4 linked regions of the Oryzias latipes genome follow. The protein of the gene in region 1 interacts with the protein of each later gene in a biochemical or structural test. Links are inferred from orthologs where the notes say so. Each region holds a gene or a part of one and is shown in the gene's direction. Other genes may lie near its edges.

Region 1 (3,511 bases):
TTAAGCTTTATTGTGTGAAGTGAGTTGTAATGCAGAGAAGGCTTTTGGTCTGTGGACCGGCCTCCTCCAGCCTCGGCTGTGATTCTTCTGCTTGATCTTTTTACCCAGCATCCTCTGGGCTGTGATGGTTACTCTGCTAAGGTTTTCTGTGGCGTTTTGAACTAAAGTGTCTTTGGTTTGATCAGAGTTCAATGTCTCTGTGTGAGCTGCCTTCTCATGGCTTTGGGTCCCTCTGCAGTTGCCGTTCAGTGTTTGGAGACGGCGTTTGACGTTTCCACGGATGACCAGAGCCTCGCCGTGCCCGTGACGTTACCAGAGATCTTCGCCAGCGCCACGGCACAGGTACTCGGTCTTTATTGCTGACACTTCATACTGGACTTTGGTTCATATCCAGAACTTGTTTTTAAGTCAGGGCACATATTTCATATGGTGCTTTCTATGTGTAATTGCTCCTGTTGCTTTTCTGTGACCAGAAAGTTATTTCTATTAAATCCCAGAATTAAAAAACCAAATAAATAAAAGTTGACTATTTATCCCACAATGGGGACGTTTGTTCTCCACATTTGACCCATCCCCTGTGGGGGCGGTGAGTAGCAGACACAGGGGATGGGTCAAATGGTGGTTTAACTCCCCAATCCAACCCCTTAATGCTGAGTGTCACGCAGGGAGGCATTGGTGAGCCTGGGTTTGAACTCATGAACGTTCAGTTACAGGGCTGACACTCTAACCACAAGGCCACTGAGCTGGTCCAAGGGCCCTCACTGGGTGATGTTAATTGCTCACAATTAACATTTGCCCCATTAACATTGCTTGACATAATTGTTCATTCCCCCCCCCCCAGGAATCGAACTGGTTTCCTGCATGCCAGTTGTTCACCTTACCAACCGAGCTACCCAGCCAAATAAGATGCCCAGTTTCTAAAAGTCCCACTCTGGTTATCTTTATTTATCTCTATTTGGTTTTAACCCAAATCAGAAAAACCTGTCGTTTTCTAGGACATAGTTTCTGCAGAGCAGCAGGACTTAAGCTGTGGGTTGGTCCGTTGCTGCAGAGAGAGTGGCGCTTTGTTTACACTCTCTCCCACTAGCTTACAGCCCCTCACTCCCCCAACTTAACAGTAGCGGTGCAACATAAATGGCGAGCAATATTGGAGCTATCCAGCTTTTGATCCAGACTCCAGCTTAGACGAGGAAAACAAAGACGGACGTGGATCCATTTGTCTCTAAGTGGAGCGGCGCAGGGAGCTTGTGGCCCGCTCAGAGTATTATCTACACCACAAAACATCTCTTTTTCAAATGGCTTTTTTTTATTTGTCTGCTCCTGATTCACAAGGATTTGAATAGGAAATGCAATTTGAAGCCTAATTTTCTTGATTATCCTCAGAAACATGCTACACGAACATTTTGAAATCACCAAAAACATTTTTATTTTTTTTATCAGTGTGGGTCTTTGAAGGCAAACCACACATTTCTGTCCCGAGCTTCTGCATTAAAGAATGAGTTGTTTTCTATAGTCTCTGCTATTTGTTTCCGCTGAGACTTTCAGATGATCAGCTTTTGGTGTGAATACCAGCCGGTAGCAGTTTATTGCTGATCCCTAATCTAAAAATGTTCTTTCTGTCCTCATTCTTGCGTGTATCCTGGATATTAATAATTTGTTCCGTAACCTTCTTGAACACTCCCAGTTCTGAGCCCAAAGGATCTTTGTTGGTGACTGAGCGTCGGAATCACTGCTGTGCTTCAGAAAGTTTGGACTGCTGAAATCTCCACAGTGACATGTTGTCTGACGGGACGTGGTGTCTGCTTCCTCTGACAGTTTCCGGCTCAGTCCCAGGTAAACAACAATTCCAGGACCAGCTCCCCGACGGAGGAGCAGAGGGCGGAGGCCGAGCGGCTGAAAAGTGACGGTGAGTTTAGAGATCCTCCCGTCATTTGGGCTCAGACTGCATAGATGTGAACAGCTGATCAGCTGATCAGCTGCAGCCCAGTCAACCTTCAGAAACCTCAGTGTTTTAGCTCAAGTTCCTGAACTACAGCCAACAAAGAAGGAGCACAAAAAGATTGAAAAATGCACAAACATACATTTAAAAGCTGGACTCAGGCATCCATAGAACAGAATAAACTAAGAAAAAAAAAAGAATTCAACCACTTAACAGATGATCAGACCAGCAAACACAGTACTGTCTAAACGTTTCACATGGACGGACAGATTTAGTGAGATGAACAGGACTTTTAAGTATCAATATTTAATGTAAATATTATCTTGATCAGGCTGCACCTTCCCTTACAGCAAGAAGGTCCCTGGTTCAAGTCCCGGCTGGGGGACCAGAGACAGAACATCCATGAGGGGCCTTTCTGTGTAGAGTTTGCATGTTCTCCCTGTGGATGCGTGGGTTTTCTCCGGGGACTGCGGCTTCCTCCCAACGTCCAGAAACGTGCTTCATAGGTTCATTGGTTACTCTAGATCAGGGGTGGGCAATTCCAGGCCTCGAGGGCCGGTGTGTCTGCATGATTTCCAGATAGTCTTGCCCTACTCATGGCTGATTACATGGTTCAGGTGTGTCCAGCCAAAGCAGGGTATGCTGGAAAACATGCAGGAATGCGGCCCTCAGTGCCCACCTCTGCTCTAGATTGTCCTTGGGTGTGAATGTGAGAGTGCATGTGTGTGTGATTGTGGCCCTGCAACAAATGTTGACCTGTTCAGGGTGCCCCCTGCTTTCGCCCGCAAGGGGCCGGGATAGGCTCCAGCAGCCCGTGACCCCGAAAGGGACAAAACCGAATAGAAAATGAATGAACAATCATTTTAATGTCTTTATATAGAAAATGGTTTCATGAATTGCTTGTTCTTGTAAAAGTTTCCGATCATGGTTTGAGACCCGCGTCTTTCTGCTCTGACATTAAAGCGAAGTTCAGAAACCGTCCACCTGATTGTCTCAGGAAGATCAGCAGAATCCCGTCTGCTCATTTCCATCCTTTTCTGCTGCTTCTAACACGAATGGTGAGCTCATCCCAATGCAGGACTGCTCCAGACGTCATAACGTTCAATCTCCTGCAGGAAATGACCAAATGAAGGTGGAGAACTTTGCCGCCGCCGTGGAGTTTTACTCGAAGGCCATCGCCCTGAACCCCCAGAACGCCGTCTACTACTGCAACAGGTGAGTGAGGCCGGATCCCCACCAACACTAGAATGAAAGAAGTTCACTAGGCTCACGAAGAACCCCGTCCAGACCTGAAGGAGGTTGTTTCTCCCTGCAGGGCGGCAGCGTTCAGCAAACTGGGGAACTATGCCGGCGCCGTGCAGGACTGTGAGCAGGCCATCGGCATCGACCCCAACTACAGCAAAGCTTATGGGCGGATGGGGTGAGACTGCAGACCCATCAATATTTTAGTCAACTACAGTGTTCCCTCGCTGTATGGCGGTTCACCAGCGGTTTCTCCGATTCTTTTCAGAGCAAGTTAACATGTTTGTTTTTAAACAGTGCTAGGATTGTCAATCAATCTTCTGTACCGAG
Region 2 (4,311 bases), on another chromosome or scaffold:
ATTTACGCCCACAAGGTGGCGCCAGAAAACCTGTCACACGTGCTTACTATACCACATGTATTACAAACGTGACATGCTGCTGCTTTTAACAATTTTATTGAGTGTGAGCTTTAGTGCATGAGCTCTGTTCAAACTTTTTTCTCATTTCAAAGTAAACTCAGTTTACTACAGCCAGTTCACCTCTTTACAGGCAAAAAATAAAACAAATAGAAACGTTTTGTTCTATTTTGATGGGAAATTTATTATAGGCTGGAATTTGCAGTGAACATGAGTAGATTTTCAGCTTCTCTGGTGGTGTTCTTGTCATAAAGATGAGGATGGAGAGTCAGCAGCTTCACGTCATCTGAAAGTCTGTGAAAAAAGAAGAACGTTTCCCACGATCAAAGCCGACGAGCAGCTTCTTTGACCTCCTGGGACCTCTGAGGGGTGCAGCAGCTGGTGCAGGCCTGTGCAGTGATGTCCTGTTCCCCGTCCATCTACGACTCCCCCCTCAGTACCGACTCCAGCTCCCCACTCTCCTTCAGCTCCTTCACTATGTCCAGGCCCCCGATCAGCTCCCCTTTCACGTAGAGCTGGGGATAGGTGGGCCAGTTGGAGTACGCCTTCAGGCCCTGACGGACCTCTTCGTCCGACAGGATGTCAAAGGTGTCAAAGTCCACCCCCGTGGAGTTCAGGACCTCCAGGATCTGCCTGCTGAAGCCACAGCGCGCCGCCTCCTTGTTGCCCTTCATGAACAGCATGACGGGGCTCTGGTTGATGATGGCCTTCAGGCGGTGCTCCAGGGTCACGGCCTTTGGGCAGGTGGTCTCCAGCTCCCCGGACTCGGCCAGCTCCTTCACGATGTCCAGCCCCCCCAGCAGCTCTCCGTTCACGTACAGCTGGGGGTAGGTGGGCCAGTTGGAGTACGCCTTCAGGCCCTGACGGACCTCTTCGTCTGACAGGATGTCAAAGGTGCTGAACTGGACGCTGTGCTCCTTGAGCAGCGCCACCATCTGGCGGCTGAAGCCGCAGCGGGGCTCCTGCGGGGAGCCCTTCATGAACAGCACGCAGGGCGCCGCGTTGATCAGCTTCTTCAGCCGCTGGTTCAAGTCCGCGGCGCCGCCGTCCGCGGCTCCTCCTGGGGCGGGCCCGCTACCCGCCAGGCCCTGGACCTTCTTAGTCAGCTCCGCAGCGTGCGCCCCGTCCAGACGATCCACCTTCTCACCCCCCTTGAAGAAGATAAAAGTGGGGACGGAGGATATGTCATACTTTTCCGACACATCGGGAACAGCCTCCGCCTCCAGCTTCACAAACGTCGCGTGCGCGTGTGCCTTGGCCAGCTCGGCCATCACTTCGTTCATGTCGCCGCACTGAGGAGCCCATGCCGCCTGGAAATGTACAACCGCGAGGTTTTTTCCAGCTTTTGCAAGGAAATCCTCGAACTGTTGTCGGCTCGTCGCCTCTAGCACATTCGCCATCTTTGCTTCTTTGACCTCGACAGCAGTCCGGCGGCTTTCTGACGTCACATCCGTTCAGCCCTAAAAGCTGTTAGCTGTAGCATAGCCGCGACGCACCGGAGAAGTGCTCGGCTTTCTGAATATAAGAGCCTCCTGTGGACTCTGGATACGTTAAAAAACATTGTATGATTTAAAAGGTAAGCGTTTGACGGTGTGACGCATAAAAAACGGAATGTTCTGCGCTTAAGCATTAGTAGCGACACGACAGATCAGTTAGCATCTTTAGCTAATCTGTTTGGCTAATTAGCCAGTCGGCGTTTATTTGGTTCCTAAAAAAAGTAATCCTGCTGAAGAGCAAGTGGCGATATGTTACTTTCTATCTTTTGTTATACTGTCTGTCCTAAATCTTAGTTTAATATTACATCGCTCCTGTCCTTGTTTAGCGAATACAGCCGGGCTAACTGTTTTTGGCTAACGCTAGTACAGGGAGTCCGTCTTTGGGAAAAAAACAAAGCATTAAATCAAATTTAACCCACTGAGTCTAACATAAAGATATAGATGCTATTTTACGTTAATTGTATGTTTATTAAAATTCTTGTTTAGGAAATAGCTCAGTTAATAATGTATTTTAAATTAGAGCTAAATAATTCAGCTGATTGTAGTTATCCGGATTCCTTAGTTAGAGATTTTATTTTCTAGACTAAAGGCTGGTTAATAAATTCACTTCAACGTTGCCTGTTTGTTAAAAAGAAGAGGTGATCTAGATGATTGCTGAAAAATTGGAAACTACGCTCACTGTTCTTCATAAACTTATAAACATGCCGTGGACGCACCATGCTTGTTGAACAGATTGTTAAATAACCTGGTGCTTATCAAAATTTTTGTAAAAGTGTACAAACACTTTAAAAAGTCACATAAACAGAATAATTTGTAATTGAAGATGTAATACAATTGCAGGAACGCTATGGATGAACAAACCTCAGACATAGAAGTGACGGTCAAAACTCTGGACTCTCAGAGCAGAACCTACTCAGTCGGTGCTCAGGTAAATGGAAAGTTCCTGCTGTAAATATTTGGGTAGTTTCCTTTTGTCTTTTATGATCTGACTGAAATGATCCATTGTTTTGCAGCTGACAGTTAAAGAGTTCAAAGAGCACATTTCTCCTTCAGTGGGCATCCCTGTGGACAAACAGAGGCTCATCTACCAGGGCAGAGTACTGCAGGATGAAAGGACGCTGGCAGACTACAGTTAGTCAAAGGATATATTAAATCTTCCTCCTCTTAACCTTTCAGCTTGTTGCTTCAGGGAGTCTCTCCATCTGAACATCCCTTCTGCCTCCTTTCAATCACACCACCAAGGAGCATTTCAAAACTATTTCTTTTAAGTAAAAATTCTGTCATTGAATTAGTTTTTGGTTCCATCTGCTCTTTCTGCTGATTTGCCACTGCTTCTGTTTTAGCTGACCATATTCTCCGCTACTCTTGTAGATGTGGCTGGAAAGGTGATTCACCTTGTGGAGCGGGCCCCCCCTCCACCCTCCCAGCCTGGCTCGGGGTCAGGGGCCACCGCAGCCGACAGCGGGCAGTCTTCATCCTCCCAGGGAGCATCGCAGGTGCCTCCACACGATCGCAATGCCAACAGCTATGTCATGCTTGGAACCTTCAACCTCCCCGTCAATATCATGGACCCCCAGCAGATACAGGTAGGTCTGCATTGTTGGTGTGCGTTGTCAGGGATGAAGGCAGCACTGCTCAACAGATGACGAGATTCCAGTTGCTCAGGGCAACTAAACTCTGTGTTTCGGCATGAAGATCTGAGTTCAGTCAAGTTGAAACATTACTTTTCTAAACGGCTGCCTTCAATCTGCCATGAGGCTGTCTGCTTTTGTTAACAACCTTTGATCACAAACCTGCAGGAAATTTTTCTTAAAAGGACCAAGTCTTCTGGATCAAAATGACATGAAAGTCAGATGGGTTCGTTCAAAGTGAAAATAAAACCACAGGGATTGATTTCAGATTTTAAAACCATCTAGATGTAGTCGGTTTATCACGCAGAGCACAAGTGAATTGTTCTGTGTGATCTCTGCATTGTTTTCATCTCAGCATTTTCCACTATGTCCGATCATATTGTGTGGAGATGTTAAAGGGAAAATGGACAAAGATGGACTTTAGAGACTCCGGCATATGAACTCTGTTCATGTCATCTTGATGGGTTTGCTAAATTATCCTAAAAACAAATACATTTAAAGCTGCAACGACTGTTGAATGACCATTGCCACCCTGCACCATGGGCCCATCAACAGCCCCCCAGGTCTGTCTGCTGCCCCCAGCAGCTTCTCCTCGGCCTGTGCTGCAACAGAACAGGATTAAGGCGTGATGCTCATCCTCTAACTCTGCAGCCCCATCTGAAAATGGTGCCACAGTAAAACCCCACCCGCTCCTCTACATTCCATGGTCCATGACATCAGTGAAGATGGAGCATAAAGAAATTTAATGATTTTTACTGGATGGCTCTTTCTTAGGGGATATATATATATAAAAAAAAGGTTTTACTGGCCCAATTTTACTTAGTTTTTTTTGTTGGAAGAGAACAAATCGTTTACTTTTTATGACAAATTTTTGAATCAGTTTTGCGGATTTTCATGCATATTAGGGGTCTAATTAGGTCTCAAAGAGGGAGAAAGTAAAATAATAAATAATAACAATTGCAATTATGACTCTTAGTCCACTTTGTGATTGCTTGAAGACTGTGGTTTAAGCCGAAAATTACTCAATGATATGATAAAGTATATAATACTTATATAATAAAGACACTAACTGTACATTAAAGCTGTGTGATTCTTGTGTCTCCTAGATGTCTGTTCAGCAGATGGTC
Region 3 (4,028 bases), on another chromosome or scaffold:
AAGATATACTGGACAAAAAGATTGAAAAGGTATGCTCTTGGAAAATGGGTTTACCTCATAAATTTTGATCAATCACCAGAATTTCATCATTAAAAACTTTGTTTCTCCTTCCACAGGTCACAGTTTCCAACCGCCTGGTCTCCTCCCCATGCTGCATCGTCACCAGCACCTATGGCTGGACGGCTAACATGGAGAGGATCATGAAATCCCAGGCCCTAAGGGACAACTCCACCATGGGATACATGACAGCCAAGAAGCATCTGGAGATCAACCCACTCCATCCAATCGTCGAGACACTACGGGAGAAGGCTGAAGTGGACAAGAATGATAAAGCAGTGAAGGATCTGGTTATCCTGCTGTTTGAGACCGCCCTGCTGTCTTCAGGATTCACCCTGGAGGACCCTCAAACACATGCTAACCGCATCTACAGGATGATCAAACTGGGTCTTGGTATGTTTTACTTCCTATATACCTGCAAACACAATTACAATTCCCACAGTTCAGATTGGTTGGTTGCTAAAGAATGCTGTCTGGTTTTTGTAGGAATTGATGATGACGACTCTGCAGTTGAAGACATCATTCAGCCGACTGATGAAGATATGCCAGTATTGGAGGGAGATGATGACACATCAAGAATGGAAGAAGTTGACTAAATGTTTTTTTCAGGCCTTTCAAAGGTTTTTTATTTTATTTTTGTAACATGTGTTGTATTGCCTGGACAAAACAAATACAGACATTAATTGACTTTTGCCAAAATGGAAACACTGTATATAGAAACATTTAAAAACTCAATTCGCTATATAAAAAGTTTCTCAGCTTTCACTTGTGTTTCTTTTGTAACTTTTACATTTTGTATGTAAAACTTTAAAATTTTTAATAAAATATAATGGTTAGAGCCTTTTGTCTTTTTTAACCTAATGCATGCTAAACTTTAAAATATTCAAAGCCAAAAATGTCAAATACCAATTCTGCAAATGTGAAGCACATTTTAATTAAGAAAGTTCGTAACTTGAAAAGGTTTTTCTTTCTAGTTCTGGAATTTTCAATGCACACAGCGTGGTTCTTTCTAGATCCCACTCCTACACGTGTTCCTCGCTTGGTATAGTCTCTCCACATTCTCCACCTACCAACACCAAATATGGTGAAATGGGCGGGGACCGGGCGTTGACAGACGTGTAGCTCAGCCTATCAGCGAGCACCACCAAGCCGCAGCCGGGAGGATTCCAGACGCTTCTGGAAGCCCCCGTCAGGGTTTTTTCTCGAAGCCTCTGAAAGAGTACAAATAGCGGAGAGACGAACGGCGGGACAGATTTTGAAGCAGTGGAGCGACGAAAGCGAGAAACAGCGATCAATAGCGGAGCATTCCACTCCCACGGAGGACCAAGGTAAATGATGCACTCACAATGAGCTGCAGGACTCGTCGTGATTAGAGACTAAAATAAGGTTCTTAAATCTGTTAACTTTGCACACTTCGTTGATTATTAGGGTGAATTACTTTTTAAGCATTTAGCCACAAACTATTTACTCAAATGTTTAATTTTTCTCTAAGGGTTAATAAAGGAACCACTTTTTTTGTCCAGTCGAGTGGTAATGATGAGATGCTGCTGCCCTGCATGTGTCAGCAGTATAACATTATGCGCTTACGGGTTATTTAATTGTTGTTGTTATAGTTTTAAGCCGTTGTTTTAGCCGGGCGAGCTGGTCCCGGTATTTTATTTTATTTTTTTGTGCGGACATCTCATTCATACGAACTCTGAAAACGGTTGATGAGAGCAGCGACTTTCTGCTCCTCGTGAAGCTGCGCGTGCTCTGCTCTCCTCCTGGTACCTTCTAGAAACTCGCCTTACGCTGGGTAACCAGCAGAGGGCGACACTGCTGCGCAAATGGAAGAGATGGAGAAAAAGGCCATTGGAGACTTGTTCAAAAGATTTTTCAAATTTAATTAAATATTTAAAATGTAAACAATTTTTTTTATATTTTTGAGATTTTTAGTTTCGGACTTGGTGAACTGAAAACCAATTTTAAAGGAGGATTATAAAAGGGGATTGTATATCTGAATTTTAAGGATTAGAATTATTATTTTTTTTTTCAAAATAATAGACTCTACTTTACCAGATTACTCATTTTTTGTGTCCCTCATTCTATTAAACCCACTATCTTGACTATAAAGCTGTTTGTGTTTGGAACAATAACTAAAGGTTAATTTTTAGTTAACTTAAGCTAAAGGATATATTTTCTTGTTACTCAGATGCCTGAGATGCATGACCAACCAATGGAGGAGGAGACTGAGACCTTCGCATTCCAGGCTGAGATCGCTCAGCTTATGTCCTTGATCATCAACACCTTCTATTCCAACAAGGAGATCTTCCTCAGAGAGCTTATCTCTAACTCCTCAGATGTAAGTTTACACAAGCCTAAGATTTTTTTCTATATTTCATCTGCACTGAATCTAATGCTAATTTATTAAATTCACTGATTATTCTTGGACAGTTTCTTCTTAGGCAGTGCTCATTGGGCTTTGTCTCTTTTTGATTGAATTTTTTTTTTTTTTTTTATCTGCTTTTTATTTTTATGAATTTAAATTCCATTTAAATCCCATAGAATTGCATTTTGGCTGCAGTTGTACTAAATGAAAAGTGAGCAGGTCGTCTAAAAGGAAGTTCATGGATCCGTTGTTCCGACAGGCTTTGGACAAAATCCGTTACGAGAGCCTGACTGACCCCGCCAAGCTCGACTCGGGAAAGGAACTCAAAATCGAAATCACGCCAAACAAACAGGAGCGGACGCTGACCTTGATGGACACGGGAATCGGAATGACCAAAGCGGACCTGATCAACAACCTGGGAACCATCGCCAAATCTGGAACTAAAGCATTTATGGAGGCTTTACAAGCCGGAGCCGACATCTCCATGATCGGGCAGTTCGGCGTGGGCTTCTACTCTGCATATTTGGTGGCTGAGAAGGTGACGGTCATCACCAAACACAACGACGACGAGCAGTACGCTTGGGAATCCTCTGCTGGAGGCTCCTTCACAGTGAAACTGGACAATTGTAAGTAATGTGAGGCTTTTGAATGTCAGCTTCTGGTGTTTGTGGTTCTCGTGTGCTGACTGACTCTTGGTTTCAATGTCTAGCTGAGCCTTTGGGCCGAGGAACCAAAGTGATCCTCCACCTGAAAGAAGATCAGTCAGAATACCTGGAGGAGAGGAGGATCAAGGAGATTGTGAAGAAACACTCTCAGTTTATCGGCTACCCCATCACACTCTTTGTACGTATCAGAACCCTGTATTTTACTTCGAGGGGATGTATTCTGATCCGAGTGAGCTGAAACTGTTCCTTCTGTGGTTGCAGGTGGAGAAGGAGCGGGACAAGGAGGTGAGTGACGACGAGGCTGAGGAAGAGGAGAAGGAGAAAGACAAGGAGAAGAACGAGGAAGAGAAGGATGAGGACAAACCTGAGATTGAGGATGTGGGGTCAGATGAAGAGGATGACCATGACAAGTCCTCAGACAAAAAGAAAAAAAAGAAGAAGATCAAGGAGAAGTACATCGACCAGGAGGAGCTGAACAAAACGAAACCACTGTGGACCCGCAACCCAGACGACATCACCAACGAGGAGTACGGGGAGTTCTACAAGAGTCTCACCAACGACTGGGAGGATCACCTGGCTGTCAAGGTTGGTGATTCAGATGGAAGTTGAGGGGAAATCTGGTCTCAAGGGAAACATTTTCTGAACCCCCCCTTTCCTTCCTCTGTAGCATTTTTCAGTGGAAGGGCAGCTGGAGTTCCGTGCCCTCCTCTTCGTGCCCCGCCGTGCCCCCTTTGACCTGTTTGAGAACAAAAAGAAGAAGAACAACATCAAGCTTTACGTGCGTAGAGTCTTCATCATGGACAACTGTGATGAGCTCATCCCTGAGTATCTCAGTAAGTGTCCGGACCTGCTGGATTCTATTCTAATCTGAGGTGAGCGGGGAGCAAAATGACTAAACTGAATTCTACTTTTCATTTGTCAGATTTCATCAGGGGTGT
Region 4 (4,310 bases), on another chromosome or scaffold:
AGTTGGAGGAACACAGTGTGCTCTTACTGTTGACTTTTGTCACAGCTTTTGTGTGAAATCCTGGCGAGAGTCACGGGGTCCGGGCTGAAGGGTTCTGAAATGACTGTGTGCTTTTTAGCTCGCTCCATGCCCTCAATTTGAGGAGCTATAAAAAATAATTGAGATTTTTAGGTCACGTCTACAACCTGTACTTTTAAATGATTGACCTACTCTTTACCTGCACTGGGTGAGGGTCCTGAGAGGCAAACAGTGGTCCTGTAACGGTCCAGTTCTTCCTGTAGCCTTCGAATGAGTTCATCCTTTGTATCCAGTTCAAGCTCCAACTCATCTATGAGTGTGTCTCTCTGGCGGAGCTCCTCGATTTTTAGTTGCAGAGCAAACTGGAGGTCCCTCAGTGTACCCATGATCTGCAGGCATCAGCCAGGAAAGCACAAAGATAAACAGCTCGTTGCTATGAGAATAAAAAAGAAATTGTAATTTTTTATTTCACAAACTTAAATATGAAAAATATTATGCATATCTATCTATGTCAAAATGCTGCCTTGCAATTGTAGCACACATTTCCATCCAGGTTAAAGGCAAAAACAATTCATTGTCAAGTGCATCATAAGTTTATCCCACTAAAAAGAATACATTTTCAGAGTAAACAAATTATACTTTTTTTTATTATGTACGTTTTATGTGAAGCTGCAAGGTTTTATGTAGGCTATATAAAAATTGTCAAAAGAGAAAAAAACAATAACAAAGATAAATTGTCTTTATCATCTTAAATTTAATTACACTCAGCCACAGATCCATTGTTTTTTCAACACCTAATTGATGGATGGTACACAAATGCTACTCACCGGTGTAGGTGAGCAGTCCGCCTGGCGTCCTCAAGTGAAGGATGCTGGTCAGGAGGAATGCCCACAGCGCAGACAGGCGGTCACGTGACGCGGGCTCCCTCCAACCACGAGGAGGGGGAACAGAATGACACATGCACAGGCTGGATCCGAACTGGGTCAGAGGAAAGTAGTTCTAATGGGAAAATTTGACACTAAATTTTGCTTTCGGAAAGAAAAAAGAACGAGCATCTGCCCGACTTTGGACATTAAAAAAATGTCAATGCTGTAAACGCATTTTTTGTGAAAATCTTTTTGTGTATTGAACATAAGCAATAGAAGGTGGTCAGGTAATTATGGGTAAATTGTAACAGTAATCTACAGGTGAGTCGGATCCAATTTTCTTTTCAAATTGACAAACACGTTACTATTCAAATGTAATGTAATGACAAAAGTTTATCACCATGTTTTTTGTCTGTCAAAGGAAAAAAAACACCCATGTGTGTACAGGTGTATTGGCACAGTATCCTGCTTAGGAGATCAATTTGGATATCATCGCCTAACCACTTTAGTTCCGATAAACTTTTAATTGAACTTTAATCGTGGTGTCATTTCTTCTTAGCTGCGGTACATCCTTCATGCCAGTAGGCGGCAGCAGCATTACTTGATGTCAGCAACAGAGGCAGTGGCATCGTTGAGAGGAAACAGGAGAAGAAGATGGGACGCTGACGGGACCACAGCCAGTGTGGCTATAACGAGCAAACTTAGTAACCCTTTTGGCTGGACTTTAATCACATTATTGTGTGTTTTTGTTTTTAGTGAGAGTGTTGAAAAATGATTCTTACAGTAAAGCCACTTCAAGGGAAGGAGTGCAGTGTTCAGGTTAGTTAAAAAATCGAACTCCATAATGCTAATTTGCACAATCAGCTAGCCGGGTATATCTGTTAGCCGCTCAGCATCATAAGTTTTTTAAAGTGCTTTGAATAAAGTGAACATAAATTTAATTTATTAGTGACTGTAACTCTAACACTAACCAGTACTAAAGATGCGGTTGTACATATACACACCCGTTTATAGTTCTAAAGCAGCTTTACCGCAGCTAGCATGTTAGCTAATTTAGAAATGCAAGACGAAGAACTCTTTCTGTCTGAATCATTCTCGCTGAGGTCACGCCCAGCAGCTGAGTGGAAGTTGTTGTTACTCCTTACTTGGTGCTAATGCAGTAAAGAGAAGTGAGTAAGGAACCGCGGTGTATTAGAGGACTTTGTTTGGTCAGCGCGTTGAAACAAAAAACGGTGTTGGTATTATTTTACAGTTCAGCAGTTATATTTGCTGCTCCTGGATGTGCCTTTGTGTCAAATCAGTTAAGACATACAGTTGCATGAAAGCAGCATTATGAACCTGCTTCTCTTATCACAAATTTAGAATTGTATATATTTTTCATTTACATAAAGTAATCATTTTAAAACTCCACAGCACTTCATTAACTTTTTTAATTATGTAGTTATATATTCTATTTATAATTTTTTTTAACCAAAACATTTTTTTGGTTTTGTGTTGTTCTTATTTTGAGTACCGTAGTACTTATGATCATGTTTTTTTTCTTTAATGCCAACTTTAAAGTGTAGCGGTAATTACACATTATACATTATATATGGCTGTTCTTCAGATTAAGTCAAACATGTGCACTTAAAATTGGTCATACAAAGCCATTTAAGACATCTATTGAATTAGATTTTAAGCCGAGAATTTTATCCCAGACAAGACAGTGAGTTTTCGGCACATTTCGAAAAAAATACGAAGGCTTTGAATAAACAATATATTTGTAATTGTTTTGAATTATTGTAACAAATGTTTTTGTCTTGAGCTGATAAAACGTTTTCACAATAGGTACTTTGTTACTTTATTACATAAAATGAATTATTTATTTTGCCCGTTTAATACTGTTTTTATGTATTCATTTTTTTTATTATTGCATCCTTAGAACTTGTTTTCCCCGCAGTCTTTCTATACCAGTTGACTCTATTGTTCTTGTTTAAATTACAGTTTAAGAATTTGTTTTTATCCCACAGGTGACAGAAGATGAAAAGGTTTCCACAGTGAAGGAACTTGTTTCTGAGCAACTCAACATACCAGCAAACCAGCAGCGGCTGCTTTACAAAGGAAAGGCACTGGCAGGTAAAATTTGCCTACTACTTTTTTTTCTTTCCTTTATACTTTTGTCAGGTTCATAATTTATCTTTCTGTATGCCCTTTTTTCTTTCAGATGAACACAGACTTAGTGATTATTCCATTGGACCAGAGGCTAAATTGAACCTAGTAATCCGTCCTGCAGGAGAAAGATCTGCAGCCTCAGCAGTGACTGGCTGCAGCAGCAGGAACATGGGAGGACTGTGGCAGACTGTGTCCACTATACTTGCTAGACACTTCAGTCCAGCAGATGCAGCAAAAGTTCATGAACAGCTTATAAAGGTAAGATAAGTTTTTATTCATGGTTTCCCAAAAGTTGTAATGGTTAAAGTTCTGTTACTGCCTTTCAAACCCACTATATAAATTATATTACAAAACGAATGTCTATTTTAACTATTTAAAATAATTTGTCATGTTGTGAGCTTGACAGTTAAGCTCCTCTTTGTTATTACTAAACTTTGTTTTTGTTTGTTTTTAGGACTATGAACGTTCACTTCGACAGCTCAGCCTGGATGACATTGAACGACTAGCAGTGCGATTGCTTCACCCTGACAGCGAGAGCATGGACACCTCCTACATGGACTAGCATTGGAAAACCTAAATCTACTTTGTATGAATAGATTTAGGAGAAACTACATGTTTGGGAAAATAAATGTGAGGCCATTGAGAATACAATGTGTGCCTAATCAGTGATTATTGATATTGCTGACTTGTGTCAGTGACTAATGTTTATCTCAGCAATAGGGCTTTCTCATGTGTGTTTTCTCTTCTATTTTTAATATTGACACCATTTGTTGAAAGACTAGTTTTTTTTGTGTAAAATCAAAACACAAAAACATTGTTTCGTGCTAATGTTGCTTGATTTCTGGCTGCTGCAATTCCAGGCAACACTAACTTCCACTTGAGACTATTTATTATTCATGTCAGCGTTGAATGATGCCTGTTTTTATTTTATTTTTTTCATTTAAACGTGGGATAAAAGAATACACACATCTTTTATTGTTCAGATGGCCATTGTGCGATTTGTAAATATTGTTTATATATGACGACAATAAAAGATCAAGAAATTACTACGTTTTTTTGTTTTTTTTACGTTGTATTGTGAGAAATAGTTGTGTTTTGTGTAAATATTGCCGGTTTGGAAACAAGGAGAAGGAAGACTGAAGAGAATGTCGCAAGGCGGGACATTTTATTTTACCGCTGGGCGAGAACAATTAAGGGAGCCAATGAAGCAATAGCAAGACACGTGATCTATGTTTTTTGACCAATCAGGTGGGTTGCCACCAACGCTCCGCCCCT

What was found.
Region 2: the proteins of sgta (region 1) and bag6 form a complex in vitro, tested with the Homo sapiens proteins (4 studies listed by BioGRID, with this or other methods). The link is inferred for Oryzias latipes from reciprocal best matches to the Homo sapiens genes SGTA and BAG6.
Region 3: the proteins of sgta (region 1) and heat shock protein HSP 90-alpha form a complex in vitro, tested with the Homo sapiens proteins (2 studies listed by BioGRID, with this or other methods). The link is inferred for Oryzias latipes from reciprocal best matches to the Homo sapiens genes SGTA and HSP90AA1.
Region 4: the proteins of sgta (region 1) and ubl4a form a complex in vitro, tested with the Homo sapiens proteins (3 studies listed by BioGRID, with this or other methods). The link is inferred for Oryzias latipes from reciprocal best matches to the Homo sapiens genes SGTA and UBL4A.

Annotation. Positions count from the first base shown.
Region 1 is NC_019862.2:5,204,953-5,208,463, forward strand, and holds part of sgta (small glutamine-rich tetratricopeptide repeat-containing protein alpha), read left to right. Parts: intron 1-238; coding exon 239-342; intron 343-1,815; coding exon 1,816-1,906; intron 1,907-3,054; coding exon 3,055-3,154; intron 3,155-3,254; coding exon 3,255-3,359; intron 3,360-3,511. UniProt on the Homo sapiens protein: Co-chaperone that binds misfolded and hydrophobic patches-containing client proteins in the cytosol. Mediates their targeting to the endoplasmic reticulum but also regulates their sorting to the proteasome when targeting fails.
Region 2 is NC_019874.2:28,119,822-28,124,132, forward strand, and holds the start of bag6 (large proline-rich protein BAG6), read left to right. Parts: upstream 1-1,508; 5' UTR 1,509-1,633; intron 1,634-2,391; exon of another isoform or gene 2,392-2,393; 5' UTR 2,394-2,400; coding exon 2,401-2,481; intron 2,482-2,566; coding exon 2,567-2,684; intron 2,685-2,924; coding exon 2,925-3,139; intron 3,140-4,290; coding exon 4,291-4,311. Other genes in the region: glrx3 (glutaredoxin-3), read right to left, coding at 477-1,457. UniProt on the Homo sapiens protein: ATP-independent molecular chaperone preventing the aggregation of misfolded and hydrophobic patches-containing proteins.
Region 3 is NC_019882.2:17,294,735-17,298,762, forward strand, and holds the start of heat shock protein HSP 90-alpha, read left to right. Parts: upstream 1-1,225; 5' UTR 1,226-1,385; intron 1,386-2,248; coding exon 2,249-2,398; intron 2,399-2,684; coding exon 2,685-3,051; intron 3,052-3,134; coding exon 3,135-3,268; intron 3,269-3,351; coding exon 3,352-3,675; intron 3,676-3,757; coding exon 3,758-3,923; intron 3,924-4,012; coding exon 4,013-4,028. Other genes in the region: heat shock protein HSP 90-alpha 1, read left to right, coding at 1-29, 117-450, 544-653. UniProt on the Homo sapiens protein: Molecular chaperone that promotes the maturation, structural maintenance and proper regulation of specific target proteins involved for instance in cell cycle control and signal transduction.
Region 4 is NC_019867.2:16,994,921-16,999,230, forward strand, and holds ubl4a (ubiquitin-like protein 4A), read left to right. Parts: upstream 1-1,507; 5' UTR 1,508-1,655; coding exon 1,656-1,703; intron 1,704-2,893; coding exon 2,894-2,999; intron 3,000-3,087; coding exon 3,088-3,293; intron 3,294-3,489; coding exon 3,490-3,597; 3' UTR 3,598-4,081; downstream 4,082-4,310. Other genes in the region: cGMP-dependent protein kinase 1-like, read right to left, coding at 28-145, 218-404. UniProt on the Homo sapiens protein: As part of a cytosolic protein quality control complex, the BAG6/BAT3 complex, maintains misfolded and hydrophobic patches-containing proteins in a soluble state and participates in their proper delivery to the endoplasmic reticulum or alternatively can promote their sorting to the proteasome where they undergo degradation.